4 linked regions of the Oreochromis niloticus genome follow. The protein of the gene in region 1 interacts with the protein of each later gene in a pairwise test. Links are inferred from orthologs where the notes say so. Each region holds a gene or a part of one and is shown on either strand. Other genes may lie near its edges. The genes, in order: ntaq1, ncoa5, rpia and gnmt.

Region 1 (7,948 bases):
TTTGGAGGCTATAGTTAGTTTGTTGTATAGTTATTGTTTTGTATTGTGTGTCGGTTAGACTGCTGAATTTCATATTTGATCTAAAAAAGCTGTCAAAGGCAGATTCCAGTGTAAACGCTGTCTCCACATAGAAAACTGGACTGTTGCACCTCCAGTTGTCAGACCTGCAGGGTTTAGGCCTGTGGTGTTCTCCTCTGTCTTATACTGAACACAAACTACATTTTTTGGACTGGCACAAATAATTTGTGTGCCTTCTTATTTGATGCAGCACACCTGATTGTTCTGTAAATAGATTTAAATGGTTATATAAAAAACGCCTGAGGCCTTGGCTGCATTTTTAGGTAAATAGTACCATATAACTTTGTTGTTTGCAAAACTTGTGCATAATTTTTAGAAATGTACAATTTCTATTTGCATTTCAAGTTATGAAAATGATTCGTTAAACATGTAAAAAAATATAACTTTTTTCTACTCGGATTCTGAATTTTTTGTCTGAATTTAGATCAACTGTGCTAATATAGTATACCAAAATGAAAAAAATAACTCAAATTTCAGATATTTGAGGTTGTGCTGTAAATAATGATACCAAACAAGGCAAGAAAAACATATTTTAAAAGTGAAATATAGAAGTAAAATCAAAAGTAGTCAAGAACGGCCAATTATACCCGGGACCCCAGAGGGTTAAAAAAAAAAGACTTGAAAGGACTTGAAATTCAAAGTTTCGGACTTGGGACTTGACTTGAAAGTTGTCTGTCTTGACTTGCGACTTGACTCTGACTTGCTTGACTTTACTTGAGACTTGACTTGTGACTTGAGGATAAAGACTTGGGACTTACTTGAGACTTGCAAAACAATGACTTGGTCCCACCTCTGGTTGTATGGGCTCAAAATGTGGTCATAAATATTTTGTACTTGTAAATCAGTTTTGTACTTGTAAATCAGGATTTGTATGTGTAAAAAGAATTTGTGCGTGCATAAAAAAGATTTGTATGTGTAAAAAAGATTTGTGTGTGGACTTAGCCAAAACCCCCCCTGCAAGTTACAAGTATGAATTTGGACCCTATTTTTCTTCCTGTCATCTGATTGGTCAATGTCATGTCAATCACAAATGTAACAATCCAATCAGAGAACAGATGGGTTTGGCTGTCGGAGGGGCACTTTTTTGAACTGCAGGTCCTTGAAGGGAATAAATGCCCTTTTATATGCCAACCCAGCGTTTTCCTTCATCACCACGAAGGAAAACAGTCTGTGGTCGTCCGAGTTTGGTGATTTTTGTGTCACAGGTCTACGTGCTTAATACAGGGACTTCCACAGCCTTTTCAACAGCGCTGCGGACCGGGGGGGGGGGGGGGGGGGGGGGGCAGTGTTTTGGAAATGACAGTCTTCATTACAAAGCTTTCTTCGTTATGAATTAGCATACATGTTTTTATTGAACATTTGAAGAACTAGCAAAAAAACCAGAAACTGTGGTAGAGGACATAAAGTCAGAGATAGAAACGACAAGGAGCAGGTGCATCTAGTACAGGTAGAGCTGCTGCAAAAACCCACAGAGCTCAGCAGCCAGCGCAACAAATTCTGGATCCTTTGCTTTTAGTTAGCAGTTAGCATTAGCAGCACATCCTGCGTCCGATGTGAAAGGACCTTTATGCTGCGCACTGTGACTCACAGCAATGGTCCCGGGTCAGCCCTGACTTTGTGTTAAACTAATCCTAAAGTAATAATGGTATTTCTAACCACTGACATACCACAACTTTATCCTTTCAACAGCTGCTGAAAGTAAGGGGACCTAGCTGCTATCGGATATTTATATAGAGATCCTCCAGCTTCAAACTGTATTACCCTTCAAGGACCTGCAGTTCAAAAAAGTGCCCCTCCGACAGCCAAACCCATCTGTTCTCTGATTGGATTGTTACATTTGTGATTGGCATGACATTGACCAATCAGATGACAGGAAGAAAAATAGGGTCAAAATTCGTACTTGTAACTTGCAGGGGGTTTTTTGGCTGAGTCCACACACAAATCTTTTTTACACATACAAATCTTTTTTACGCACGCACAAATTCTTTTTACACATACAAATCTTTTTTACACATACAAATCTTTTTTACGCACGCACAAATTCTTTTTACACATACAAATCTTTTTTACACACACACAAATCTTTTTTACACATACAAATCTTTTTTACGCACGCACAAATTCTTTTTACACATACAAATCCTGATTTACAAGTACAAAACTGATTTACAAGTACAAAATATTTATGACCACATTTTGAGCCCATACAGTTGACGCGACACAAAGTAAACTGCACGCTTGAAATCTGTGTAATAAAATGTATGAGGGGAATGATAACGAAGACAAGATTTTCCAGATCGTTGACTCTTGCTGTCTAGTGAACAGCATTGTGACGTTTGTCTTGTATTATGTTCATATGGACATAAAGTCAGAGAGATACATGTTTTGAAAAGACTAGGAGCAGGCGCATCTAGTACACGTAGGGCGGCCGCAATAAAGGACGTACCAGCAGAGCGCAGAGGCCAGCCAGCGCAACACGTAGGTCCTTCCCTCTAGTTAGCGGTGAGCGGAGCGCAAGCCGCGTCCGCTGTCTGGGAGGATTATTCCTTACAATGATATTGTGATTTTTATTCTTATACTGACAAATTTTTTAAAAAAAAAACAAAAAAAAACTGCGCTAAAAGGAAAACGGAAATCTGAACTGGCCAATCATAGTGGTTGCAGCTCCTTTGACAAGGCGTGTGTTTATAATTCTCAGGAGCCAAGTAACGTCAGGTAATGTTCTGACACAGAGCCTGCACGGTCACCTCTGGGAGGTATGTCGGGACTCACCAGTAGCAGCTCGTGTACACGCAGTCCTCGCGCATCGGAACGAGTCTCCGATTCATGATCGGGTGTTACACTGAAAGAGCTCCAAGGGAAACGGACTGACACCAAATCCGCTAAGGAAAGTGGACTTTCAAATTAAAAGCATCGACAAACTGGGGTCCAACTGCTAATTTAACTTCGCTGCCGCCACAAGAAATGAGCTTCAGTGCTCCCTTAGTTACCTCCTTTATTTGTGACGCTGAAGCATCCTTCATGAAAGGAGAACATCGTTTATAGCAAAGTACCATAAGAGAAACAAACTGACCTCTGAACCTGTTAGCTAGCTTAGATTTTCAGAGAATAACTAAACTTTAGCAGTATACAGTCTCCCATCACTCAACTCCTTCTGCTCAGCACCATAAATCATCAGAAAATAATTGAAATACAAACTCAAAAATGTATTTTTGTAATAAAACATTTCGGCTTTTTTTTTTTTTTGAAGACTTGTCAAATCTCTAAGGAATTTTTATTTTTGTAAACATCTGCACTGCAAATTTCACAAGTTTTATTAGATTTGAGATAAAATACTTAATTTATACATTTAACTGAACAAATCTGTTCATGTCAAATTGATTATACGGTTAACTAAAAATTATATGAATGAAATTTTTTCACTGAAATATAAATAAAACCCAGACAGATCTGGATCATCACTCCAGAAACTAATTTAAAACAAACTAACGAGCAAATCGAAAACCAGAATAACTGGTGAAATGGGCGGGCTTGACAGGGGGTCCAGGCTCCTCAGCTAACTCTGTAAAGATGGCTGCCATGATATCTGAACTTAACATCTTAGACCTGATCGATCACCCACAAACAGCCAATTAGGCATGTTTTTATTCATCTTTAATGGCCCTAGACAGGAAAGGGATGTCACACTGCTGATCAATGTCAGCTCCTTTCACCAGACTGACAGCAGACACACACACACTCAAAAACAGTTCAGTTTATTCAAAAAGGAACTGACATCACAGCAAGGAAAACAGTGAGGCAAGAACATTGTGTCTGAAAGTAAAAACATTAGGAAAACGGCATCTGTGGTTGCTAAGCACGTTGCTATGTGAAGAGGCGGATAGTAGCATCGGCGCCAGAGGAGAAGACCCAGGGTTGCGTGGGGTGAAAGGTCACATCCAGAACACCGAGATCATGAGTCATCACATGACCTCTGAGGACTTTCACTGGGACGATGAGTGGATTCTGCAACAGGTCACTGTGGGGGTAGCAAGGAGGGTGGGGTTAGAGTGCAACTGAGAGGAGGAAAAATAAGTGCGCGTGTGTGTGTGTGTGTGTGTGTGTGTGTGTTTTACTTGTAAACAGTCCCATGACAGACGATCACTGAGCCATCATCGGACGCCGAGGCAAACAGCGGGTACAGTCTGTGATAGGCCACACCCCTCACTGCTTTCTTATGGTGTCTGTAGAAAGAAGGTGATCCATATCACATGATAAATGATTAAAAAAAAAACCAAAAAAAACCCCACATCTGATCAATATGTAGTATTCTACAATCAATGATACACCAATATCAGTGCCCTGATTGAGTAAACACACTTCCACATACAACATACATCCTCACCTTCCTGGTGCAGGTCTGACTGAAATCTTATATTTCCTAAACTCCTGCACCTGCTAGGCTGTGAAGGCACTGCAGATCTTTTTTTTTTTTTTCTTCTTCTTTCTTTCTTTCTTTCTTTCTTTCTTTCATTTAAACAATGCTGCTTTATGTACAATTCAGCTCTGGCTATGCAAAATTCTGTTGGCAGCAATGTATAAAATGTGAAAAATACAAGCTGAACACAAGAGGGAGCATTATAAAATAAAGAGCTATAATCATTTTAAAACCGGGATACCATACAAATAAACTACATGGCAGTTCAGAATAGAGAGTAATTCACACTTTTCTTAGGTTTAAAGGTAACCCAGACACCTCAGAAAATATGTGGATTTTGTTGATGACAAGAGGGATTTGTTCTGACCTTTTGAGGAAAACTGTAGTATCATCTGCCAGCTGAGTGCTTAGGTCTATACATGTGACATTGTGATTTTCATATAGTGAAACGTTCTTTAAAACAAACTGAGGTTGCATGAAAACACTCTGTAGGTTAGTGCAGGATAGACAGGTTAAACAGTGCACTGTCAGTGTGAAGGATGGCAATTACCCAGGACAACTCAAACTCACAAAACACTTGTTAAATTCAGGTGTGTAAAGAGCAGTAAACCTCAGGGCAGCAGCAGTAGCCCAGATCAGCTGATCACAGCCTGTGGACTAAGAAAATGTACTGGAGCTTTCAACAGAAATGATTGTGAACTGTGATTGTTTTCCTCACACTGAACTACTGCAACAAGCCTTTAACCACCCACCTCACCAATGTGAGCTATGGTCTGAGTAACCCCCATCACTCAGGCCACTCACACATGGACTCTATTCAGTCTTTTTCTTTGCACTACTTTGAAGCACTTTTCAAGTTGTTCTCTAACTTGGGCATTTCTATGTGCCTCCCACTTTAATCTCTTCCTTACTCATTTTCTGTTTAGAGACAAAGTCACATTCTACAATGTAGACAACAGAAAATAGAGCCATTTTCCCCTTCTTGTTCCTCTGCTTATGTTCTACTTAACTGATTCAAGCTGAGCGCATTTATTATCATCGAGACTAACATGAAATTTGTATTCTCATCTACTGCATTAATATAGCAGAAGGTTTATTTAGCTTTGCAGAAAAATAGGTGGTAGAAATGTTCTTTAAGGAGATAGTTTTCAGAGCCTGTACTTTTTCTGTTGTACTTGAATAAAGAAGTTGAATCAGTACTTTTACAGGAGTATTTTTTTTTTAAATACTAGTACCTGTACTTCTACTAAAGTACAGAATGTCTGTACTTTTGCCACCTCTGCCCAACCAAACCCAAATCAGCCTCCTCCAACAGGCTCTTCAGCCACAATCTCTCCAAATCTGTAATTAATCTTATAAATATTCACTTGTTAACTCTAACCCACCGGTGCTTTACCTGTACTCAGCATTGATGCAGCTGTCTGTGAATCTACTTAATCTATAACTTCTGACTAAGTCTAGTCTAGCTGTGTTAGATACTCACTCTAACAACACCACCATCTGTAAGGCAATGCGTAAAGCTGCAATATTTGTAACCGTGAGAGTTACTAAGTAGTAATAATAATAATAATAATAATAATAATAATAATAATAATGGATTGGATTTATATAGCGCTTTTCAAGGCACCCAAAGCGCTTTACAATGCCATTATTCATTCACTCTCACATTCATACACTGGTGGAGGCAAGCTACAGTTGTAGCCACAGCTGCCCTGGGGCAGACTGTCAGAAGCGAGGCTGCCATATCAGCCACCATGTGAAGAAACCTTGACATCCGTCCTGGAGATCAGGTCTGAACGAAGACAGGAGCACTCAAGGTCACCTGCAGCTGACAGCTCATGTCTGAAAGGGTTAAACTCAGATGATCAGAGCGACTGGCAGGTACGCACCGGAGCATCTTGTAGGGTTTAGTTGACAGATCAAGGTCGAACCAGCTCAGCTTGCAGTCATAACTCCCACAGATCACATGATCACCTGCAGACACACGAACAGACAGTTGGGACAGCTGTGAAGAGAATACTGCGCGTATAAATACAAATGACTTTAGGATGAAGCAGCTGCGGTGAGCTAAACGACCATTGTGGCGGGTTTATTGGAGCCTTTAAGACTTGTGTGTGGGGGACTGGGGATATGGTTACCTCCCGGATGGACAGCCATGCTGGAGATCCACTTGGAGTTGGCTTGGAGTTTTTTGGTCATTTCTTGTTTGACGAGGTTGTAGATGCGGATCGAGCGCTGTGTGGCCACAAAGAAATAGGGCCTGATTGGGTGGAAGGATACGCACTGGACCAGGCCTTTGTTCCTGCTGAAGGGGTTCTGACTCCGCCTCCGGCTCAGCTGGTGGATATACACCTGCAGGTGGCTCGTGTTATCTGGCATCACTGATGCTAGATAGTCTCCTTTAGCATGCCACACCACCTGGTGAACAGCCTGCAGAGATCAGCAGCGATTAGGCCAGGTGTGGATCAGAGTGGGGGGTTTAAACAAACAAACAAACAAACAAACAAACAAAATCAGGTGGTTTTCTCACTTTGGGGTGTTGGATTTTGAGGCGGACCCCCTGGTTTAGCTCTTCCCCCTCAGCCTCGCTCCAGACAACAGACCCATTTCCTTCTGCTGGCTCCTCCCCCTCCTGTTGGGCGCTGAGGAGTCGTTCTGACGACAAGATGACCTGTTTATCTGCCAGAGAGGGAGACAGGATCAAGACCACAGAGTCCCTGAAACCAGAGAGACACAGAGGGACAGGATTCACATCAGAGGGAGAGGAGGGATGAGTTTAAAATCCTGCTTGTGGTTTCTAGAGTATTTAAAAGTATAATGGAAGGCAGAGCCTTAAGCTTTCAGGTCTCTCTTCTGTGGAACCAGCTCCCAGTTTGGATTCAGGAGAGAGAATGCTCTCTACTTTTAACATTAGGCTTAAAAGTTTTCTTCTTGATAAAGCATATAGTTAGGTCTGTACCAGGTGACCCTGAATCCTTCCTTAGTTACGCTGCAATCGTTTTCATAAAGTTGGATGTCCACAACAAAAAAACAACAGCAACAGCAAAAAAAAACAAAAAACACTACCCCAGTTTAAACCATCATTAGAAATCACTGAATTAAATTATTAATACATGCTCTCTTCCTCATATGACATCTTTATCCCCATCATGCTCCAGGGGTTATGTGATTGATGGGATATTTTCTGTATTACACTAGGACAGGGGTGGGCAACTCCAGGCCTCGAGGGCCGGCGTCCTGCAGGTTTTAGATGTGTCCTTGATCCAAGACAGTTGATTCAAATGCCTAAATTGTTCAGAGGCTTGAGAACGAACTAATCATGTGATTCAGGTGTGTTGACAGACGGAGAAACAGAGAGAGACAGAAAGACAGAGATGATAAGATATAAAAGAGACAGAGCGATGTCAGAGAGGTGCTCACAGGGCAACAGCCAGCAAACAGACAGACGGATTT
Region 2 (7,642 bases), on another chromosome or scaffold:
AGTGAGATATATTCTAGTTATAGTTGACGACTGAAATATTTTAGAAGGTTCGTGGTGCAAATTTAAAGTCACACCATCCGAGAAAAATAAGCCCCATTGGGTCTCACAACAGTCCTTTGTGAAATAAATGCAGTCCTCTTCTCTTGAAATAACGCCGTCTTGAAGAAAATCAGATTAGCTGAAATGAAATCACGTTCCTGGGGTCACTCTGAAAATGCCAAAATCTAAAACAGCGCAATTTCCTTAAAAGTCCTTAGGAGAAATGTGCGTATTATGTGCCTTAGATTAGGGCTGCACGATTTTGCATAAAATGAGAATCACGATTTTTTTTGCTTAGAATTGAGATCACGATTCTCTCACGATTTTCTTTTCCAATATAAATATTTATTGCACTTATTAACTGCACATCAACTTCGTAACAGTTGAGACTGAACATAAAAATAATAAATAAACATAAAAACAATAAATGTCTCACATTTTGTCGTTGCCGCAAAATGTTGTACTGCTTGTAATTCCGTCTCCACCGTTGCTCGACACTGCGTGTATAGAGCAGGTAGTGCAACATTTGAAAAAATAGTTGCAGGACGGCACTGTGTAGCGTTTGTCTAGGGTGTTGATCATTTTCCTAAATCCCTCGTTTTGCACAGTGTTGATGGGAGCCATATCTTTAGCCAGGTGATAAGTGATAGCCTCCGTAATTTCTTTGTGCCTGCGGGAGTTCGACGGCTATGGGGAAACGCTGTATACGGTTCCCATTATTGATGTTTGGGTGGTTGACCGGGACGGATTTTCTCCTGTCACTTTCTTGGCCTTTACAGCTTCGTCATCTCTCACGTGCTCTCCATTGTTTTTACCCTGCCAACTGGCTTCTGTTTCACGTGGTATAAGGCTCCGCCCTTGTCATTTATTGAGCAGGAAGAGTGAGCGCTTGTTTTCATGCAGATTATGTCCCGGATCAAAATGCGGTACAATCGTCATCTTTTTCCTTTTTTTTAAAAATCATTGTCATTTGGAAATGAGATCGCACATAAGTATGAATTGAGATCGCGATTTTCTAACGATTAATTGTGCAGCCCTACCTTAGATAACGCAATATAAAATTATTTCAGGACAACAGAACCGCAAGAGGTTTTTCGGTCTCAAGATACATACAGCAGAAAGACCAGAGAGAGTTTCATTGCATTTATACTTGAAGGAATTTACATAAACCTTTCAGGAAGCAGCTCCTTACATACCTTAACTTGAACCTGGATAGCCTGGATTCAGCATCCACTGAATTTAGAAACTAGTGTGTCTGGGGAAAAAAAGAAGAAGATACAAACACTACAATAAGCTTATGAAATTAATCAAATGAAATGCTCTAAAATATAGTCTCAAACAGCCTTTCGGAAAGTTATTGAATAAATTGATTCACAATAACAAGTCTCCACACCAGCCACTTTATTAGTTACACCTTGGTTACACCACAGAACTAGGTTAAATCCCTTTTTGCCTCAATTTCCCATGGAAGAAATTCAAGTTGCTGGAAACATTTCTCCTAGATTTTGGTTCACATTGACATGATAACATCACAGTGTTGCTGTACATTTGTCGGCTGCAGATCCACAATGCAAACCTCATCATTCACCACATTCCAAAGGTGCCCTATTGGACTGAGATCTGGTAATTGTGGAGGCCAAGAGCACAGTGTCAACAGCAACATTGTCATGTTCAAGAAACTAGTTTGAGATGTTCTCAGGTAGGTCCGGGTGGCTAAACAATGTTCAAATGATACCAAAGAACATGTGCCAAGAAAATATCCTGCCAAAAATATCACACCAGCAACACCAGCCTGAACCACTGATAAAGGTTAGGCCAGATTCATACTTTCATGTTAGTTACAGCAAATTCAGAACACCAGACTAATCAAACCAGGCAATGTTTTACTCTATTTCTTGACCAATATTAGTGACCCTGTGTAAACTGTAATCTCAGTTTCCCGTTCTTAGCTGATGGGCATGGCACTTGGTGTAGTCTTCTGTTGCTGTAGCCCATCTGCACCAAGGTTTGAGATTTCGTGCGATCAAAGATGCCCTTTTGTTTACGTTGGTTGTAACAAATAGTTACTTGACTTAATATTGCCTTCGGTTCAAACCGGTTTGGCCACTGTCCTATGATTACCAACAAGTCATTTTAAGTATTAAAAATAAGCTGCTTCTAGGAACAAAGACATATTTTTTTAAGAAACCTCAAAAAAGTCAATTAGCTGTAAGTATTTCACGTGCCTTGATTTAACTGGAGAAAATAAATGAACAAAATTTGAAGCATGTTTGTAAATGAGACATTATAATCTCAATTGGATCGTCTGTATAAATGAAGGTTAAACAAAATAACTGAATAACCAGCAAAGCAAAGTAGCACTGCGAAACTTCAAATGCCAGTCAAGTGTATCACCTCTCACCAAACGCCTTTTTTAGCAACACAAATCCGACCGCGGCTCGTAATGTTGCTTTCGATTCGGACTCTTCGTCAAAGCTTTCCGGCCGCCTCATAAATAACGATTTACACGCTACAGCACCAGCTATGTAATCCAAAAATAGACTCGTTACACTGCTCATAAAACTAAGTCGGTTAACATTAAAAGCAATACTCTCATACACCGCCATTCCGAGAGACGTTTTAATAGCGTGGTTACGGAGTAGCTACATAGAGCTAGCTTAATGTCGGCGGTTAGCTTCTTAACGCTACCTTAACGAGGGACGTTAAAACCAAACAGATAGGTTCACAGTTACGCCTGCAAATGCTTTACGATCCACGGTTCGCTGCAAGCAATGCTATAGCAAGAACGACAGGGCGACTATGTGCTTACCTTCAAAGTCTATTTCGTGTTAATTTTCAGCCACCCACGGACAACCACTATCCGCTCACAATGCTGCGCTTCTTCTTCACTTTAGTTACAGCAACTGGCCCTGATATCTTCTTCTACCCCTTGTGTGGATGTAACTACCATTTCATTTAGCCTATATATCGCCACCTATTGGCTAAACATAAAATACGTGCAGTATGCCCTTCGAATCAATAAAACGAATTTTAGACCTTTAGAGCCTGAACCATTAAAAATAATTACCAGAAAAATATACGGTTTTTTTAAACGGAGTATTTTTTAACCCTCTAACAAATTATATAAAGGAAATTAAATAATAATTTGCATATATGCGTTGTAATTTGTATTGTATTTTCTAAACCAGTCTCTCTTCTTTTGCAATGTTTTGCTTAATTAATAAAAATAATCAGTTCACGCTATTTTGACTCAGTATAGCTTAGCTGCTTCAAATGACTGGAAGGTAGCAAGGTTGCCAGGTTGAGATGTTGTCCCCTCGGTTTGTACGTAAAAATAAACAAAGCATTACAATCCCTGAATTTCGGCATTTTATAATATGTAATGTACTTCATGTTAATTTCCAAAATGTATGAGGATATGCTAATATTATAATTATTGTCTAAATCTACACATTCGTGCTCACGGCAGCGTGAACGTTGTTGTTTTACCGGCTCGGGCAGACGGTTTCCGGGACTGGGCGGTCGTTGTGTTGGGAGGAGTCAGTCCCACATACCTGGCAACATCCACCGTCGCTTTGTTAACGCTTCATTGAGCCAAGATGGCAGATTTCGAAGAGCTCAGCGATGAAGAGAAGGTATTGCTATATTAATAATCCTCACAATAACAACGGTTTAGCTCTAACCTTTGTCGTGAACAATTGCAGACCTCGGAGGGATCTTTAAAGTCGCGTATGAATTTACCAGTAGGGCTATGGTAGGTGTTTGTTGGGTGCTAGCTAAACCTAGGCAGGGCTGTATTTGACAGCTCGGAGCTGAAGCTGTTATGTTCTTATACATAGAGTAACTTAACTAAATTACTCGTTTTAAATAGCAGCCATATTCAGCGTACGGCTAACGTCGATTTCTGATTTTGCTCTTAACTTTGCAGTGGTTGGCAACTGTTAAATCGAAGGAAGTCCAGCTACTTCCTGCATTTACACCAAGGATAATGACAGAGCATCGATAGCAAAACACCACCCACACCCTGTTCACTTTCACGTTTAGCTTCCTCAACCGGTTTTGATAACGTCGGACGTTAAAGCTTGACCCACACAAATGAGTTTGTGGGTATTTTATGCACTGAAGACCCGATACTTATTTTTGGTTTAGAAACGCATAAGGAGGGTAGGTCTTCTGTCTCCCTGCAGTGTTACTGAGCCTTGCAGTGACTGGTGTTGCTGTCTGTATCATGCTGCAACATGTTGTAAAATAGCGCATTGCATTCCTGAAGCTGATATCTGGCCAGGAGCTTAACTATTTAAGTAGTTTCAGTGAATCTTTCGAAATAAGATTAATAGGTTGGTGTGATATCTACACTAAAATAATACATTTTAACTTTTCTGAAGAGTCTGCGTAAATAGTGTGTTCATTTGCGTTTGAAATACACGATGGAGAAGCTGAGTCTGAGCCTGAGAGTGTGCTGTATGCTCTGAATGCCACAATGCCTGCACCACTCTTAAACTGGGTTATTCATTGTAATGTCCTTCTGCCCTTTCAGCAGGACAGCCCAATTGTAGGTCAGCGCCAGCTGCAGCCTGAAGGCTTTAATAATCCTGTCTGCCTGACAGATAGCATCACTGGCAAAATCATACTACAATGTGATAGTGACGTCATGGGTTTAGCAAAGGGATACAGTGAAGGTGGCAAATTCGTGATTTTAAAAAAGGGAACTTGTAACCTCTATAGAGAACAACTTAACTTCAGATTTTACAATGAGCTGCCTGGTATAAATGTACAACTTGCGGTCCTCATTGAGTATTACTTTATGAGAGCATAGTACCTGCCTCAGTCACTTCTTTCTAGGGCTTTGACACCACATGCTTGCACATGCATACTGGGTGGCTGCTAAGAAAAGCCCTTGGATGACATGTACTGCCATCTAAGGAGCGGCTGAAATAGAGCTAACCAGCCTCTGGCCAAGAAAGTTACAGTACAGTACAGTACAGTACCCAGTACTCTCTGCTTCACTCTAGTGGTTATTTGCAGGTTTTAATCTGTTCATATAAATTGCCTACTATATCTGTATCTTTATAAAAATGGATACTGTAGCAAGACTAAATAACACCAAAGTTTCTTAGAGATGAAGTGCAGATTCCCATTGATGATGTGGCACTCTTTCTTATTTTTTTCATGACAACATGTCTTATTTATTTCCAGGTCCGTATCGCAGCTAATTTTGTGATGCATGCTCCTCCAGGAGAGTTCAATGAAGTTTTCAACGGTAAACCCCGGTTACACCTTGTGTACTAACTGCAACCCATGTGCAAAGAAAAATGTGTTTATGGTTGTCTTCCACTACTTGTTGTTCTCAGATGTGCGACTCCTGCTCAACAATGATAATCTCCTCAGAGAGGGTGCAGCTCAGTAAGTTTCCTTCTTTAGCTTCTTTCTTTTCCTTTTCTTTTTTTTTTAAAGGGAACCAATTATTACTCTACTCTCCTCCATTATTTGGAACATGGTCAGTGTTACAAATAATGAGATGACATGCTTATGCAGTCCAAAGCTGAATCTCAGGCTTCAGACTGTAGTAACTGCTGAATTTCAGACATTTTTTGCTACTCGTGGTTCTCCATGATGTCATTAAGATCTGCTATTCTTTACATGGTCAAAAAGGGCCAAGTATCAGATCATGTAGCACTACTCTAGAATCTAAGAATAACAACAATGTTATAGATATGAATGCAGCTTATGGTTATATTGTCTTTTGTTATAGTGCCTTTGCCCAGTACAACATGGATCAGTTCACCCGTGCCAAAATTGATGGATATGAAGAGCCGGCAAGTTTTGGCCTTTTTCTTTTTTTTTAAGCATTCAAATAATTTGCTATTATTATTGAATCTACAATTTAATTTATCTTAGGATACTTGAATGAACTCCCATGGTAACAGCAGGTTTGTCTGTCTGGTCTCCTGCAGGTTCTGATAACAGAGCATGGAGACCTGGGTAATGGCCGTTTCTTTGACCCCCACAACAAGATCTCCTTCAAGTTTGACCACCTGAGGAAGGAGGCCAGCGATCCTCAGCCCCATCAGGGCGAGGCAGCCCTCAGCTCATGGAGAGATGCTTGTGACTCTGCTATTAGGGCATACGTCAAGGAGCACTACCCCAGTGGAGTCTCCACCGTAAGATCACTCCCTCTCTCATTGCACTATGGCTGTCATGTTGAGTTTAAGCATAATAAATCACCCACTCCTGGTTATTTGTTTCAGGTTTATGGGAAAACAATTGATGGCCAGAAGACCATTATCGCTTGTATCGAGGGCCATCAATATGAGCCTAAAAACTTCTGGTAAGTTGAGAAAGGATAATGATCTCTTTCTAAATGTCTTTATCAGATTTTCCCAAAGAATTATGTTGATGTAGTGTATCCGTAATTATGCATTTGGGATCGTCTTTCAAGCATAGCCTTCTGCGTTTTCCTTCACCAGGAACGGTCGCTGCCGGTCTGAGTGGAAGTTCAGTGTCTCACAGCCTACAGCACAGGTTGCCGGAGTCTTGAAAATACAGGTATGTTAAGTTTTTATTTGGTGGAATTTAAGAATAGTCTTGATATTAGTTTTGTTTCAATGTTGTATTTCCTCTCCTTACCACAGGTACATTATTATGAGGATGGAAATGTGCAGCTGGTCAGCCATAAAGATGTACAGAAATCACTGACTGTGTCTGTAAGTGTTGTTCTATGTCTGTGGGCTAAAGTTTAAGAACACGTTGATTTTGTTTGGATCTGTTTAACTCATGTATGTTTATTTTTGGCAGAACGAGAGCCAGACTGCAAAGGAGTTAGTAAAAATTATTGAAGATGCAGAAAATGAGTACCAGGTATGTGGGAATTGCCTCAGTTTGAGAGAAAAAAAATTAATAAAGCCACAGAAGAGCTGTGGCAAGTTGTATAAAATGTACTTCCTACTGGCTAAGATCCTCAACAAGCTGTGCATAGAACAATAGGTGATCTTTAAAAGGGGAAGACTGATCGAAACACACATTTTTTTTATTTATTTTTTTATTTCCTAGTTGGTAAGTGAAGCTGCTAATGGCATTATTTTTGTAAGCACTCTTGGCTGCCAAATGACCACCGCAAGATTTTTAGGTATATACACCATAGTGTTATAAAACAAGTGACTAAAGGTGTTGTTTTAAATAGTCGGAAATCAGAATCATTAATTAAATAATTACATCTATTTTCAGGTGTTGAGTGAACATTGTAAAATAAAATAAAAATAAAACGCATGTTTATTATTAACTGGAACTGACAGCTATTTCAAAGGACTGTATATGCATAACATCACTGTTTAGGCAACTGTTTTCCATCTTTTAAAAAAAGCTTCAAAAGGCACCAGCAGCGCAAACAAACTGTAATTAGTGGAGGTGACGTCTAGCAGACAGCAACGGGCTATAGCTGTCTCTGTCAGCACACCTGTTAGTCAAAGCATTCAAGCTCTGTAACTTTAAACGTTAACAGTGTTTAATTTATTGACTGAGATATAGAAAGAAGTTCACCCACAACACAGTTGGTATGACATGCGAGAGTCTCTGTAGAGACCAGAACCTTTTCTAACTATAAACG
Region 3 (7,009 bases), on another chromosome or scaffold:
CCTAGACGATGTATTTGGTGAAAAAACTGATTATGTGAGGGTAGCCAGTAGTAGCCTCAGTGTGGGTACAAAGTTCTCTCCGTGAATACAGTGAAATGACATTAAAGAATCATATAGAAATATCAGTGTTTCTTCGTGTGTATAGAAAATGTACAATGATTTAAAGTAAAACCCAGGGTCAACCCTGAAGTTACCCACATAAGCTTAAAGCCTTTCTTCACAGTATAGAGGCCTATGAAACAGGATTTTTGACTTATCCAGATAACTTCAAAGCTGATCCTAAAGTTATCCAATTTTTTTAACAGCGTGACTTGACACTATACAAGGACATTTTAGGTTTAACATGATCTACTTTCATGTAATGAAAACGCTGAAAGGCGTTTAAAAGGAGGAGGTGCTGAGGAAGCCTCCGTTACTAACGCCGTTAAAACGAGTTTTTCAGCAGCAGACTGAAGGCTGACGCATTGGCTGCTCTCACCGTTGTCGCGCGCCCCGCAGGTAAAGTTAATTAGTTAGTTGAACTGAAAAACTTTCAAATAATCCGCTTTTCTGTCGCTTGGAACATTTTTGGCGATGTCAACAACAAATCCGGAGGAGCAGTCGCTGGGGGCGGGGCCGATGGAACAGTAATTTCCGGTGACGTCATGGGCTTGCCTTTGAACCTTTGAACTTTCCTTTGACGTCGCCAGCTCCAAACCCCTTAAATACAACAGTCCTGCTTACTTTTTACATGCTTTCACAGTGGAAGGTGCATTTCAGACGCGTTCAACTCAAAACATACCAAATTATCATTTAACTCATCCCACAAAATTTATAAAAAATGGAAGACAAATACTTAAATACTGAGGACATTGAGGAAATCACAGCAGCACGTCTTTATCCTCTGATCAAATCTTTTTTTGAAAATTTGACGGCTGTGCAGTGGCATACCATTAGATCAGGAGACTTGGACATTGCCACTAAGAGTCTTCTAGGAGAGCTCATTGTAGGGATAACTGAAATAGGTGTGAAACACTTTGAAATGATGACTCAGAATGCCAACACTGAAATATCAGAAGATGGTGTTTTGAGCAAAATGAGTACCATAGTTCCGCAGGCTTTTGCTGAAGCTTTGGAAACGGTTCCTCAGGCCGACAAGGAAAGTACTGAAAACTTCCAACATCTGCTTGCTAAGGAGGTTGTGCTAAGTATTATATCTGCACAGTCTTCTGACAGCAAAACAAGTTTTGGAGAACGTGAGCACATCCTTCCTCCAAAACGGCTGAACAAAATGATCCATTTTGCTGGGAGAATGATTAGAGCTTTCATCTCCAAGATGAATTATTTCAGCACGAGCACTGATACCAGTAGCTCCAGTAGCTCCAGTGATTCAGATGAGGACACTAAAATGTTAGATAGTCCAAGTGTTCCAAAAGAATATCTGGATCAAGGATATAAAACACCCACGATAGGCCCCCAGGACAGCTTAGATAGTGAATTTCTAGAAACTGTGAAATTTCACATCAAAAATGCTGCTGATAGTTTTATGCAAAATTGGAAAAAAATTATGTCTCCTCATTATAACAAGGAGCAACCACAAACAACTGAAGAGATTGAGGAAATTGCAAGACAGCTCACATTCTTAGTTGAGGCAAAGATTCAATGTTCTCTAGAGCGTGGTGAAGTTACCACTCCCGCATCATTTGCAGAGAAATGTAAGCAGTCGCTACAAAACAACGCAGGTAAGCTCAAAACATTCTTTACGAAGCAATTTGCAAAAGCGACAATTCTTCGCATTGCCAAAAACACCAGGGCTAAATTCCAGAGAAAGGAGAAAGTTGAAAGCAGTGAATCGGTGGAGGAGCTTGTTAATGATGTCGACTTGCTGCTTCAGACTGTAAAAGATCGTAATTCAAATGAGTTTGAACTATTTAAACAAATTTCGATCGGCAAATCTCTGGAGTTCACCCAGGCCCTCACAGACATGCTAAATAAATATGCTGTAGGGGACATGGGACCTGAAACTTTACCTGATTGTTTCAGAACAGCACATGTAAACCTACAAGTGAAAGTTTTCTTGGCACTCATGAGATGGTGGTTATGCACCCAAGCTGAGAGCCATAGTCAGAGTGTAATGCTTGCAATACTTGGGACTCAAGAACCACAGACAGAAACACAGACACAACCACAGACACAACCACAGACAGAACCACAGACACAACCACAGACAGAAACACAGACACAACCACAGACAGAAACACAGACAGAAACACAGACAGAAACACAGACAGAAACACAGACACAACCACAGACACAACCACAGACAGAAACACAGACAGAAACACAGACACAACCACAGACAGAACCACAGACACAACCACAGACAGAAACACAGACAGAAACACAGACACAACCACAGACAGAAACACAGACAGAAACACAGACAGAAACACAGACACAACCACAGACAGAAACACAGACACAACCACAGACAGAAACACAGACACAACCACAGACAGAAACACAGACACAACCACAGACAATGGAAAGTATTCCAGTTGTAACGTCCCAACCAAAACCTGAGCCGTTTGTACTAGATGATCCTGTACACAAAGCTTACATTAAAATAGTCCTTCATAAATTATTTAACCGCATAGCTAAAAAATTAAAGATGAAGTGCACTTGTGTAGGCACACAGAAGATCCACACCTGGCTTTTGGAAGAAGTATGGGGCGAACTCAGGGATAAAAAACTTACTATAACTCCACAAAACCTAAAAAATCTGGAAAAGTACATTCTTAAAGACTTGCGCAATTTCTTTGGGAGTGTCGAAACTGTTCAGGTTGCTCTGGAGTTACAGAAATCCACAGCTGTAAAAATCATTACACAATGCTTGACTGAACATCTGTCAGACACAAAAAAGAAGCCAAATGCCATTGTCAGGTTTTTCACTGCGTTGACCAAAGCCATCACCAAGCCATTTAGACGCACAACTTGAAGTGGTGGTTTTTAACATCAACTTAGTATTCATCTTGAAGGAAAAACAGTCATCTTTTTCCTTGCAGATGAATACCGAAATACATAACATCAAAAATGTCGTAGCAAGAGAGAAATTTGATTATAACTGGATTCAAATCCCCCAACCGGTCTCGGCAGATGGCCGCCCGCCTGAGCCTGGTTCTGCCGCAGGTTTCCTCCCATTAAAGGGGGGTTTTTCCTGCCCACTGTTGCCAAGTGCTTGCTCATAGGGGATCATAAGATTGTTGGGGTTTTCTCTCTTGCATTGTAGGGTCTTTATAATATAAAGCACTTTCAATCAGCTTTTGTTATTGGGCCCTATTTAAATCAAATTGATGAGCAATTTGAGAAAATTTTCCAAATCAATAAAACAAATTCTAAATTTTAACTTGTATTTCTGTCTCTTTTTATTTTCTGATTGTCATTGGATTGTCTTTTAAATGAACATCTACTGTGATTTTTAAATTAATATCCATTGGTCCTTGTATATAATAAAAATATTGTTTCTTACAAATAAATACTGTTAAATGAATAACTGCTCACTATCAGTTTTCAGGAAATGAATAATGTTGATCATTTTTCTATTAATGGAAAAATGGAAAACTTCTGCTGACATATGAGCTGTTTATTTAAAAAAGGACAAAGCCTTATATGCCATACATACTATATAAACAACATATATAAACAGATTTTCCAATATAATATTTACCTTTGAGTTGTTGGTGCTTTGTAAATGGAAATCTCCAGAGACGAGAAGATGGAGCAGGTTTGCAGTCCTGGTTCAGTCTGCTCCTGCATTGTGGTCACCAACATACAGCAATGTTAAAGCTGCTGCCTGAGTACTGAAAAACAAATATTAATGCTGCAGTAATTAGAATCAAACTTATAGCAAAGGAGACCCCTTGAATATAAATGATGATAATTAAAGAAAGAATCTTTGGGAAACAAAAATTCGAGGACAAATTTTTATTTTATCCACTAACATGGAGGAGGCGGGGTTTATGACTTACACTGCAGATCTATTTTTTTTGAGGGGAAAGCTGTCCGCGGCGGATCTGTCTGTCTCCGTGTCTTGTGGGCCGGGTCATGACATTTCAGGGGTGGGTCTCCTTCAAGAAGCACGCAGCTGGATTTGTGTGTGTAGCATCCCGGAGGCTGGTGGTTCCCAATAACTATAAGCACGTGTGTCTGTTCAGTCAGTCTGCAGCTAACATGGCAGAGGAGGCGAAGAAGCTAGCTGCTTACGCCGCCGTGGATAACCACATTCAGGTACAGCAGGCTCTGTTACCGTTCACTCTCTGCTAGTTTGTCGCTTACTATAAACAGGATTTGAAACAGTAGTATATAGTCTTATCTGCGTGTTTAGCAAAGTTGGCTAAATATACAGCTACAAACCAGCTTAGTGATTTGTTACCGTTATCTAACTTGCACGGTTTGGAAGCGAATTAGCTGTGATAGCTAGCTAACTTTGCTTAGCATTAAGCAGTGCATGTTACAACATACAGTAAGTCGCTAGCTAAGCGGTAGCTGTATTTGACAGAGCCGTACACTGCTGATTTAACACGGCATAAGTCTCAGAACTGTAAAGGCTACGTGACTGCCCCATGTGTACATTTCTACATGAACTAACCGCATCATGACCGCTCACCAAATGTCACATTAAAGTCTCGACGGTATCCATTTGGGCCAAACTAATGATGATATGGGGGGTTCCATATTAACCTTTTACTGTTGTGCATTTACACTCCTGCACCTCCCCTCGCCTCTGTGTTCAGGGTTTAGAAAATCAATCTCATGAAGCAAAACGCTGTTGAGCAATATAGAGCAAACAAGTCTGCTTAAGAAGTGAGCTGTCTGCACGTTGGGTTGAATAAAAGACTTGAACAGAAGAGCCAAAACCAGCAGGTCTGAAGCACATGCACGTGTCCAGGCTGTTCTAGTGGGAGAGGCTTAGATGAGACAGGAGAGAGCTTTCTACCTGCTGAAACCTAAAATCTTGGTATCTTGTGTTTTAGTCATTTTTAGTATGCCAATACAGGAAATAAACACTCAGCATTCCTAACAAAGTAGATTCATGATATGATCATTATTATTATGACTGCAGTAAATTAAACTCTTACACATCTTTTGGTGTTGTTTGTTTTTCTCCTCACATGCTCAGGATATTTAGCCTCACTACATTTGTTTAACTTTATTTTTGTTTTTCTAGAATAATCAGGTTGTTGGTGTGGGCAGCGGGTCAACTATCGTCTACGCTGTGGATAGATTAGGTGAGGGAAACATAACCTTTGACTGTACGACACAAGATAATACACCATCTCTACAGGAAGATTTGAAGCTCTGCTCCAGTTGTGACACAGAGCAGAGTTTTTTTTCTGTCTTAACAACACAAGCAAATTCCTAAATGCAGCACCATTTGGGTCTTTATCAGAATTCATCAAATAAAGCACTAATGGCCCTTGTGTTTTATCCCTCCCTCTTCTAGCTGAGAGAGTGCGTCAGGAGAAACTCAATATTGTTTGTGTTCCCACCTCCTTCCAGGTTGGTTTGCATATTTCACAACAGTGTGGAGCAATATGACTTTGAAACATCATTTCCCCTTACTTAAAACTGTGTGTTTTTTCTTTCCTCTGCGCTTTTGTTCTGCTGTTTTTGGGGTTTTTTTTGTCCCACAGGCTCGTCAGCTGATTCTGCAGCATGGCCTCACTCTGTCAGATCTGGACAGGCACCCCGAGGTATGATGAGCTCATTGGAAATCAATCTGAAAGCCCTGATTTCCTGTCTATCTCTGCTTACTATCAATAAAAAAGGGGCAAAACCCAACCAAATAAATAAAACATGATTGGGAGAGCTGACTAAAGCATTTCCTACATTTAGGGAATGGTTCAGGAGTTTCTTTTGTATATACCGGTATCTGTGCTCAGTGGTCTGCTTGCATAAAAAATCGCCGCCTTTGCTTTTGCAGCTGGATGTGGCAATTGATGGAGCAGATGAAGTGGACGAAGACCTCACGCTGATAAAAGGTGGAGGGTGAGTACAGTACAGATGTCTGATTGCAAGCAGCGTCTTTCCTGATTTCTGTCATTCATCTTTTTCTTCTTCTTTCCCAGTGGCTGCCTGACTCAGGAGAAGATTGTAGCCGGCTGTGCTAAACATTTTGTTGTAATTGCCGATTACAGGTGTGTATCGGTGAACCTAAATGTCAGATGTTAGAGAAAGTGTGGTCATTCAGAGGTGTAGTGTTACGTATTGAAGTAGCAGAACACAGGTTTCCATGTGTGCACTGGAGTTGTTGCTTGTTTCCAAGCACATGTAAAGACTGTAATAGCAAAATGGTCAAACTTTAGCAATTCATATTTTATATATTTATGAGATGAACCAGAGTTCTCTACACATAACAGGCAACTTGGCAAAAGATGTATTTTAAATTCTTTCGCTGAATCTGTGATGATGTTTGTACCATCCAAGTGATAACCATTGAGCTTTTAAACGTGGCCTATCTTGCCTAAGAGTTAAGGCTGTTTTGAATGTTGTATGTTTCCATTTTCCCAGCAAAATATAAGGGAATGAAAGGGGGTAGCTCAGTAGTGTACTTTATTTTTACCAGGGTTGATCAAATTACTTTGTTACAACAGAAAAAATGAACCACACAGGACTTAACCTGTGCATGATTCCAAACATCCACCATATAAACCTGACCTGACCTTTAGGATGTACAGGACATAAAACATTATTAATATGAAGATCTTGACTATCTGGGTATAATTAAAGGTGCACACTTGGGCTTTTTAGGGTGATGGGGTCTGGCCACCCTGCCAGGCGGGTGAGTGATATGGAAACCCACGTTTGCAAATTTAACTTGAATGAGGAGATGTAAGACTTTCAAATTCTTACCCAAAAAATCTTGGGACAAGTTTAAATCCTGGTGACTTTGACCTCAGGAACCATGTAATTCTACTATTTATTAAAATATTGTAGAATTCAGACATCTGTTGAGGTGTTATTAATCGTT
Region 4 (7,470 bases), on another chromosome or scaffold:
GATTCAGTAAATATATATTTTTTTAATTTTCATACCCCACTGGTCAAAAGCTGGTTCTTTTCTCCTGTCCCATCTCGCCTTCAGTGCATACTTGAGCATTTTGTCGCTGGCATCCACACTCACCAAATTAAACCCCTCCTCCACCAACATAATGGAGTCAATCCTGGAAAACAAAATCCATGAATACGTTTAAAAACAACAACCGACCTGTGAGGATCATGATTTGGTGCAGTAGGTGTGTTTAGATTTTGAGGGTAATCCCTGCTGTCATCTTCCCCTGAAAAAACAGTTTGATCAAGTCTGAGTGCGAGTGTGTGTTTGCTGCGACCGCACTACATGTGGTTTAGTAGTAGGTTGATAAGCTTATCGTCACACTACAGACAGGAATTGTAACCTTGTCACAGGTAAGGAGAGATGATTTGTATGGTAGCGAGAAGCTACTACTGTTTTGAAAACCTGACAGGAAAACGTGATCGCGGGCCAAACCACAGCCTGAATAGATGCTACTGACTGACTTTCAAAAATGTTTTCTCTGCTATTTATGAGTTAATAATAAACAATACAGACGTGTTTCAGTGCAACAGGGGAGGGATTCAATGGACAATAATGCAGAAATCATTAACATCTACCGGGTAACTGCAAGATAATAGATAACAGCAAAACAAAGCTTATGTAAAAAGAACAGCCAGTTTTCCAGTTTTGGATTAAACAAAGTCTTAGGCTAAAAGCAAATTCACATCTTTTAGTTTTCATCTTGGCATCAAATCTCAAAGGACTCGATGCCTCTACAAGAGGGATCAACACCATTTCCTCTAAAAGATGGCCCTTTTATTTGGTTCAACTGTGAGTCTGGTGACTGTGAAGGCCTCAACTTAACAGATCCAGCATAATCCTTAAGGTATGAGTCAGGGATTCATGGTTTCCCTTTAATTTGTCTGTATGCCTATCCATTCTGCAGTTATACATAAGACTTCCTGCCTCAACCTATGGAATCCTAAATTAAAAAACTCTCACAGGTTCAGGTGAAGGTGATGACGATCCACAGCCTGCAGCTTCTTCTCAGAATTAGAAAGCACCACAAACGCACTCTGGCTGCCAAAAATAGCTATTTGTAACCGTGATCCACGAGGAATATGTTTACTTTGAGGCTGCTGCACTACTGAGGCGCACCACTACTAGGGAATGGGGTCAGAATCAATGTGCTGGGGTGCTCCACACCGTAGGAAGACAACCATGTGGCCTGAGATGTGGAGCTGAGTTATTATGGAGATGACTGCAGTTCTGACATGAACATTATAAGCTCTGTAATGTTGATTAGCAGGTGAAATGAGTGCTAAGTGATGAGCAAAGAAAAAAAAGGTACATTTATGATAAACATCAAACAATAAAATGGTTAGAATGCATCTCCAGTGAAAATTCTCCATGAGAAAAACAACAGCTGAGGTGACGTATATGGTCTGCTTGTCTGTGCTTGGGCAATGGCCTTGCTGCTGTGTGAGAGCAAAGTCAGAGTATCAAGGGAGATAAAAAAGACTGCAGGAAACCAGACAAAACTCCTTTCAGCTACCCAGCACTAGTTCATCACCCACTGACCTACTAAGTGCAAGTTTACGGTTCGCTTGTGTTTAGTTTGCTTTAGAAACAGGAAATTTAAATGGACAACACTTGCTGCTTCAAGCTTGTGTCACAGACATATTACACCTCTGTAACTGAATCACATTTAACCAGCATGTGTAAACCCGCTGTGTCTACACCAGACCAGTGCAGGAGGCAGGACGTGGCTCAGGATCAGGTGCAACTCTGCACTTTCATTCATTATTCTGTGGCTTAATCCGGATTTTGTCCCGAGTTAAAAAGGGTCAGTGAGTTGAAATTCCACAAAAGTCAAACTCACTTGAACGGCTATAAAGTTGGGTACACGTACAAAAAGGCCTATGTGAGCTGAAATCACTTTGTTTTTACCCACATATCTATCAAGTACAGCAAAGAAGCAAACACCATCATCACTATCAGCTACTCCTACACAACTCTGTTCTGAAGCTGCACAATCACTGTGAATCACACAAGAGTCACACCTTCTCACATATTTGAAAAGCAATAATGTAGTCTGAATCGGCACGATTTATGGCGTCATCAGCAGCTGTTCACCTGCTGAATCATTGTGAGCTCAGGTTTTTGTTTGGCATATGCAGTTTAAATCAAAGTTTAACCATTAACAAAAGCGTGCTCGGGATACTTGGATAAAGCCGTATTTAAGATTTTGTTATGGAAATTTCATAACGTTTTGGCTTATGTTTTTTATATTTGATTATATTTATAGATACACACTAAGTCGAACGATTTTTAAGTGGATTTTGATGAAGCAGAGCTGAAGCCCCTGTCAGACGTGCTAATAAGACTGCTAATTTGACCTGACATTACCCTGTTCCGCAGGCTACATCCAGCACACTCCGCACCCCGTGCTGCTTCAGCAGGGACACCACCCAGCTCCTGTACTCCTGCGTCCTGCTCTTCGTGTCTCCGATGTACAGCTGCCACACTTTCGCTGCTTTGCCATCGGCGTATTGATCAGGAAGACCTTCGGCTGCCACACCGAGAGACCGGGTCCTAAACACGCTGTCGACCGACATACTGCTGCCCGTACCTGTACCTCTACCTGAGTGTCTGTTTGAGCGGACAAACAAGTTTGGACTATTTTAACTGGGTGAGGAAACACGCTACCTCTCTGACAGGTATGCTTGCCACATGCTAGCCGAGATGTTATTATTTATATGAACAACCTAAGACAGAAACTTTAACCCAATGACACGCCGTCGAGCACCGCCGCCTACTTTCTGATTGGATAACCTAAGGGGAGCCCGCCCCTTTTCTGTTTAGCATTGGAATACGTCACTCGAGTGAAGCTTTGCTAGGTTGCCAATTTTTCCCCTTGAGCTTACCTTCCAGGATAAGTTCCACACTGTATTCCATCAAAATTAAATTAAATACCTCAACACGTGCATATTAAAGTTAAAATTAAGTTATGTTTGACGTTGGAGGAGAAGTATTTATTTAAGTATAATGTTAAAATAAAGTAGAGCTCACGAAGCCCATTACCTGTAAGGTTTTACTCAGGGAATATAATCCCACCAACAGTGGCACAGAGGACTCGCCCCCTTTAACATTTCATCATCTATCGTTTGATCATGCTGTTTGGACGCATTGCTTGCGAAACATGCATAGTAAGAGGTTTTTGCAAAATTAAAATCCTAATAATTTCATTTTTTAACAATGAAATGCACAGTGCTGCAGTAGTTAAGTGCACAGGGTGTAATGTAGGTGAACAATGTGATTTAAAAAAAAAAAAAAAAAAAAAAAAGATGGAATAAAATCATCTCAGGACTCTCTTAGGCACTTTTCGTGCCCTTCCAAACAAAGTGAACTCCTCCTGCTGTGATTGGCGGATTTAGTTCTGTAGGACCCATATTTACTGGTAGAGGTGAGGTCATGTCAGCTACAACCAGTGCGAGCTAGGTAAGGTTTGCAACTTCCAGTTTTTTCAGAACTGCACTACTACCTTATGGGTTGTTCACGCACACATACACACTTACTACTTTCAAAAATCCAGATCTGACTTCGAACACAGGCATAGTTATGTAATTCAGCCTAAGCAGGAGTTGGCAAGAACGCACAGCACTGCCTAGAGGAAGTCACACATTAATGCACCTTTGGTCTAGTCTGCCAAAAAGACATTCCTTCCTGTGGTTGTTTTGATGATGGTGGTGGAGAACAAAATGACTCACTGCGAAGGACACAGGACATGATTCAGATCATTTTTATCCTCGCTGACACGTCATGACATTTGCATGTGGGCATTGTCATGGTTGATCATAAAGTAAATCACTAAGGCTACGTTCACACTGCAGGTCTTAATGCTCAATTCCGATTTTTTTGATCAAATCGGATTTTTTTTGTCTGCTTGTTCACACTACAAATAAAATGCGACAGCAGATTAAACAATATTGTTTGACTGATGGCCCTTAATATAAAGACTTCGGACTTTACGTTTCCCAATTTTTGCTTTAAGTTATTTTGTTATTTACATAATAATGTAAATAACCTAATAATTATCGTTATTGCTGTTTTAGAGGAGCGGTGCTTCAAAGGATAGCTGCAGATTTCTGTCAGAATCTGCAGATTATACAGTACAAATAAAATGTTCACGTTGTCTTCCCAACAGTTTCACTGACATCTACACTGGATGGCCAGGAAGCGTTCGCGATGTCTTCTCGGGCGCTTCTCCGGCGCTGATAATTGGTGTCTGTCTTGTGTCAGTGACGTAAAAGACGGATTTAATGCGACATGACCGTTCAAACAGCAGTCGCCTTCTAAAACATCAGATATGTATCGGATTCAGTACCACATACGAAAGTGACCCAGATCGGATTTGAAAATATCGGATTTGTGCCGTTCACACTGTCATACCATGATCGGATATGGGTCGCATAGGGTAAAAAAAAAAAAAAAAAAAAAAAAAAAAAAAAAAAATCGGATTTGATGCGCTTTCGCCTGCAGTGTGTACGTATCCTTAGGCTTAATATTAAGGGCCATCAGTCAAACAATAATGTTTGCTCTGGGTCTAAACAGAGCGCGTTGTGTGTGACATCTTCTTTTGCTCATGCGGGCCGCTTTGAGCGTTCACACTAGAGCGCGTTTGCTGTCGCATTTTATTTGTAGTGTGAACAAGCAGACAAAAAAATCGGATTTGATCAAAAAATCGGAATTGCAGTGTGAACGTAGCCTAAGAGCAACCTTGTAGCATTTTGTATAATCTTTGCTTCTAAAAGAATAAATGGACCTAAATCATGGCCAGAAATTGCACCCCAAAGCTTAACAGAATGAGCAAACAGTGGTTTAGTTTTTGCTTTAATTTGTCACCTGCCCGTATACACAGTCACTGAAAAGATAAGTGATGATCAAAGTTCCAGTCTGAGTACACACAGGTGTGTGTGTGTGTGTGTGTGTGTGTGTGAGAGATATATGAGAGAGAGACTCTAATACAGTTTGTTGAATGTATGCGTTAAATTAATCATTGTATCCCTTCTGAAGTATTGCGTCAATGCTCTTGTTACAACTTGAAACAGGAAGTGAGTGCTGTGAAGTTCAGAGATTAGTCAGATGGCGGAACAGATGAAAGGGAAAACGGTTACATTTCAACGTGTTGTTTTCAGTAGGACCGTGATTGACACCACTTCCAGCGCAGAGCCAAACTTTGCTGGAAATCACCTCCTATCAATCAAATCAAATTTAAGATTGACACAGTTACTGCCAGTTTGTCGGCTGCACATCATGTGAATCTTTTATTCCACCACATCCCAAAGGTGCTCTGTTTGACTGAGATCTGGTGAATGTGGATGCCATTTGAGTACAGCGAACACAAGTCATGTTCGAGAAACTAGTGAGATGATTAAAAGTTTTTGGTATGTGGTGTTATCCTACTGGAAGGAGCCATCAGAAGTGGGGTACACTGTGCTCATAAAGAGATGGACATGGTCAACAGTATTCAGGCAAATGTGCAAACAAATGTTGCAGCAGAAACAGAGTCCGGAGACCGGCTGATGGGTTGTTGAAGCGACCTGGAAATTTCCCTTAGAGCTCTGACATCAACAAAGGATTTTTAGCCAGTAAACTGCCGCTCGCTGGATATTTTCATTTTTTCACATATATATCATCTGTAAACTCTGGATATGGTTGTGTTCTAAAATCCCAGCAGATCAGCAGTTTCTGAAATACTCACACCAGCTCGTCTGGCACCAACAACCGTGTCACTTTCAGAGCCACGTAAACAACCTTCCTTCTCTTTACTGATGCTCAGTTTGAACTTCAGCAGGTTGTCTTGACCATGTATACATGCCTAGGTGCAATGAGTTGCTCAATTCTGATTGACTGATCAGACATTGTTAGTGACGAGTAGCTCAACAAGTGTACTTAAAGTGGCCAGTGAGCGCGAACAGATGAAAAAAATGGGACAAATAATTTTTTGCTAAATAAAATTGAAAGAAAAACACAAGTCCGATAATTTATTGATCAATACACCTACAACGATGTCCATGTCTCTTTATTTATACAGCACGTTTCATTACATGTTGCTTAAGAAAAATACATTTTAAAAAATGTAGGTGTACAGTGTCTCAAGGCCATAACAACAAAAATAATAATTAATATTAGAGATATTTTATATTTTAAAACAGTTGTTACTAATGCTATGTGATTAGAAGATACAGCTTAAGTAATTCTGTTTCTGTTGGAACAAACTGTAATTTCCCAAATTACAATTTGACTCAGTTCTGACTGCCTTCCCATACTTTTTTCAGCACTTTGTTCTTGAGGACAGTAGATGGTGCTATAAGAGCAAATATGAATGAACTCACACTTGAACATGACACATAACTGACCATAAAATTACCTCAAAAAAAGACCTGAAATAAAAGTATACACATGTCATATCTTTAAAACTCATTTGCAAGGAGTTAAATGTACAAATATGAATGATTATAGAAAAAGGTCAGCATGAACATATTTATACATATGCTGTACGTGAAGTACACAAGTATGTTAAGGAGTGTAAAAATTGTTTGATTACTTTTTGAATACTCTGTACCATTTTATATACTGCTATATTATATGTTCAAGCATTAATCAGTTCATAAAGATGTTTCGAAAACTGCTTTTGGAAGAATACAAAACTGATAAAGTTGATGACTGATAGTGTGTATGTATAACTATGCCAAATTGTATCTGAATTATAGCTATCAGTGTAGCTATCTTTATACTTGTCCTTCATTCCTTATTGTGTGGGATAAGTGATGAGGGGAAGTTGGGGTAACACTGAATATGGTGATTCAGTAGAGTGAGCGTGGGGTAGGGATGAATAAGTATGTAACATACTTCTTCCTACTCCATTTCAGACTTAACGGTTGTCATTTCGTGTAATTTAGAATCTGTTCATTTTATTTTAACTTTTGTTTTTGTCTGAGAACGTGTGTGTATGTACATATATATTCGTATTTGTACATGTAAATGCAAGTGTGTGTGTGTGTGTGTATTGGTTTGTTGTATATATCTGAAATAAAGATGATGATGATGATGATGATGATGTAGTAGTAGTAGTAGTAACAAGAACAAGAGCACATTGGTTTTCCTTCATATAAGCTCGGAAATTATGTAATAAAATAAAGGTGTAAACCTCCTAAAATGATAGCTGTTAAAATGTTTCATATATCCAAATGTAGTTCTCACTTTTCTTGTTTTCCAAAAGGAAAAATGAGACGTGAAACATTTGGAATTCTTTACGTTCATCTATACATCTGGCCAGTTGTTCATCTAACCTACAATCCTTTCTGACTAAAAACACACAAATTAAAGCATGATTAATGACTATAGGCTCAGCCTGCTGGTCAGGCTTCTGAGAAAGCAAATATGACTGGAGCT

The links.
Region 2: the proteins of ntaq1 (region 1) and ncoa5 interact in a two-hybrid assay, tested with the Homo sapiens proteins (3 studies listed by BioGRID and IntAct). The two-hybrid records come from large-scale screens. The link is inferred for Oreochromis niloticus from reciprocal best matches to the Homo sapiens genes NTAQ1 and NCOA5.
Region 3: the proteins of ntaq1 (region 1) and rpia interact in binary tests that used the Homo sapiens proteins (3 or more experiments, as listed by UniProt). The two-hybrid records come from large-scale screens. The link is inferred for Oreochromis niloticus from reciprocal best matches to the Homo sapiens genes NTAQ1 and RPIA.
Region 4: the proteins of ntaq1 (region 1) and gnmt interact in binary tests that used the Homo sapiens proteins (3 or more experiments, as listed by UniProt). The two-hybrid records come from large-scale screens. The link is inferred for Oreochromis niloticus from reciprocal best matches to the Homo sapiens genes NTAQ1 and GNMT.

Annotation. Positions count from the first base shown.
Region 1 is NC_031985.2:36,120,670-36,128,617, forward strand, and holds the start of ntaq1 (protein N-terminal glutamine amidohydrolase), read right to left. Parts: upstream 3,001-7,948; 5' UTR 2,907-3,000; coding exon 2,851-2,906; intron 1-2,850. Other genes in the region: ribosome biogenesis protein bop1, read right to left, coding at 3,943-4,096, 4,194-4,301, 6,385-6,469, 6,634-6,925, 7,026-7,212, 7,916-7,948. UniProt on the Homo sapiens protein: Mediates the side-chain deamidation of N-terminal glutamine residues to glutamate, an important step in N-end rule pathway of protein degradation.
Region 2 is NC_031970.2:8,753,731-8,761,372, forward strand, and holds the start of ncoa5 (nuclear receptor coactivator 5), read right to left. Parts: upstream 3,002-7,642; 5' UTR 2,849-3,001; intron 1,295-2,848; 5' UTR 1,236-1,294; intron 1-1,235. Other genes in the region: capza1a (F-actin-capping protein subunit alpha-1), read left to right, coding at 3,639-3,674, 5,236-5,299, 5,391-5,442, 5,792-5,855, 5,994-6,200, 6,288-6,367, 6,507-6,585, 6,672-6,743 and 1 more. UniProt on the Homo sapiens protein: Nuclear receptor coregulator that can have both coactivator and corepressor functions.
Region 3 is NC_031983.2:7,547,059-7,554,067, forward strand, and holds the start of rpia (ribose-5-phosphate isomerase), read left to right. Parts: upstream 1-3,987; 5' UTR 3,988-4,083; coding exon 4,084-4,266; intron 4,267-5,206; coding exon 5,207-5,267; intron 5,268-5,482; coding exon 5,483-5,538; intron 5,539-5,672; coding exon 5,673-5,732; intron 5,733-5,962; coding exon 5,963-6,027; intron 6,028-6,107; coding exon 6,108-6,176; intron 6,177-7,009. UniProt on the Homo sapiens protein: Catalyzes the reversible conversion of ribose-5-phosphate to ribulose 5-phosphate and participates in the first step of the non-oxidative branch of the pentose phosphate pathway.
Region 4 is NC_031983.2:26,632,563-26,640,032, reverse strand, and holds the start of gnmt (glycine N-methyltransferase), read right to left. Parts: upstream 3,015-7,470; 5' UTR 2,631-3,014; coding exon 2,422-2,630; intron 164-2,421; coding exon 36-163; intron 1-35. UniProt on the Homo sapiens protein: Catalyzes the methylation of glycine by using S-adenosylmethionine (AdoMet) to form N-methylglycine (sarcosine) with the concomitant production of S-adenosylhomocysteine (AdoHcy), a reaction regulated by the binding of 5-methyltetrahydrofolate.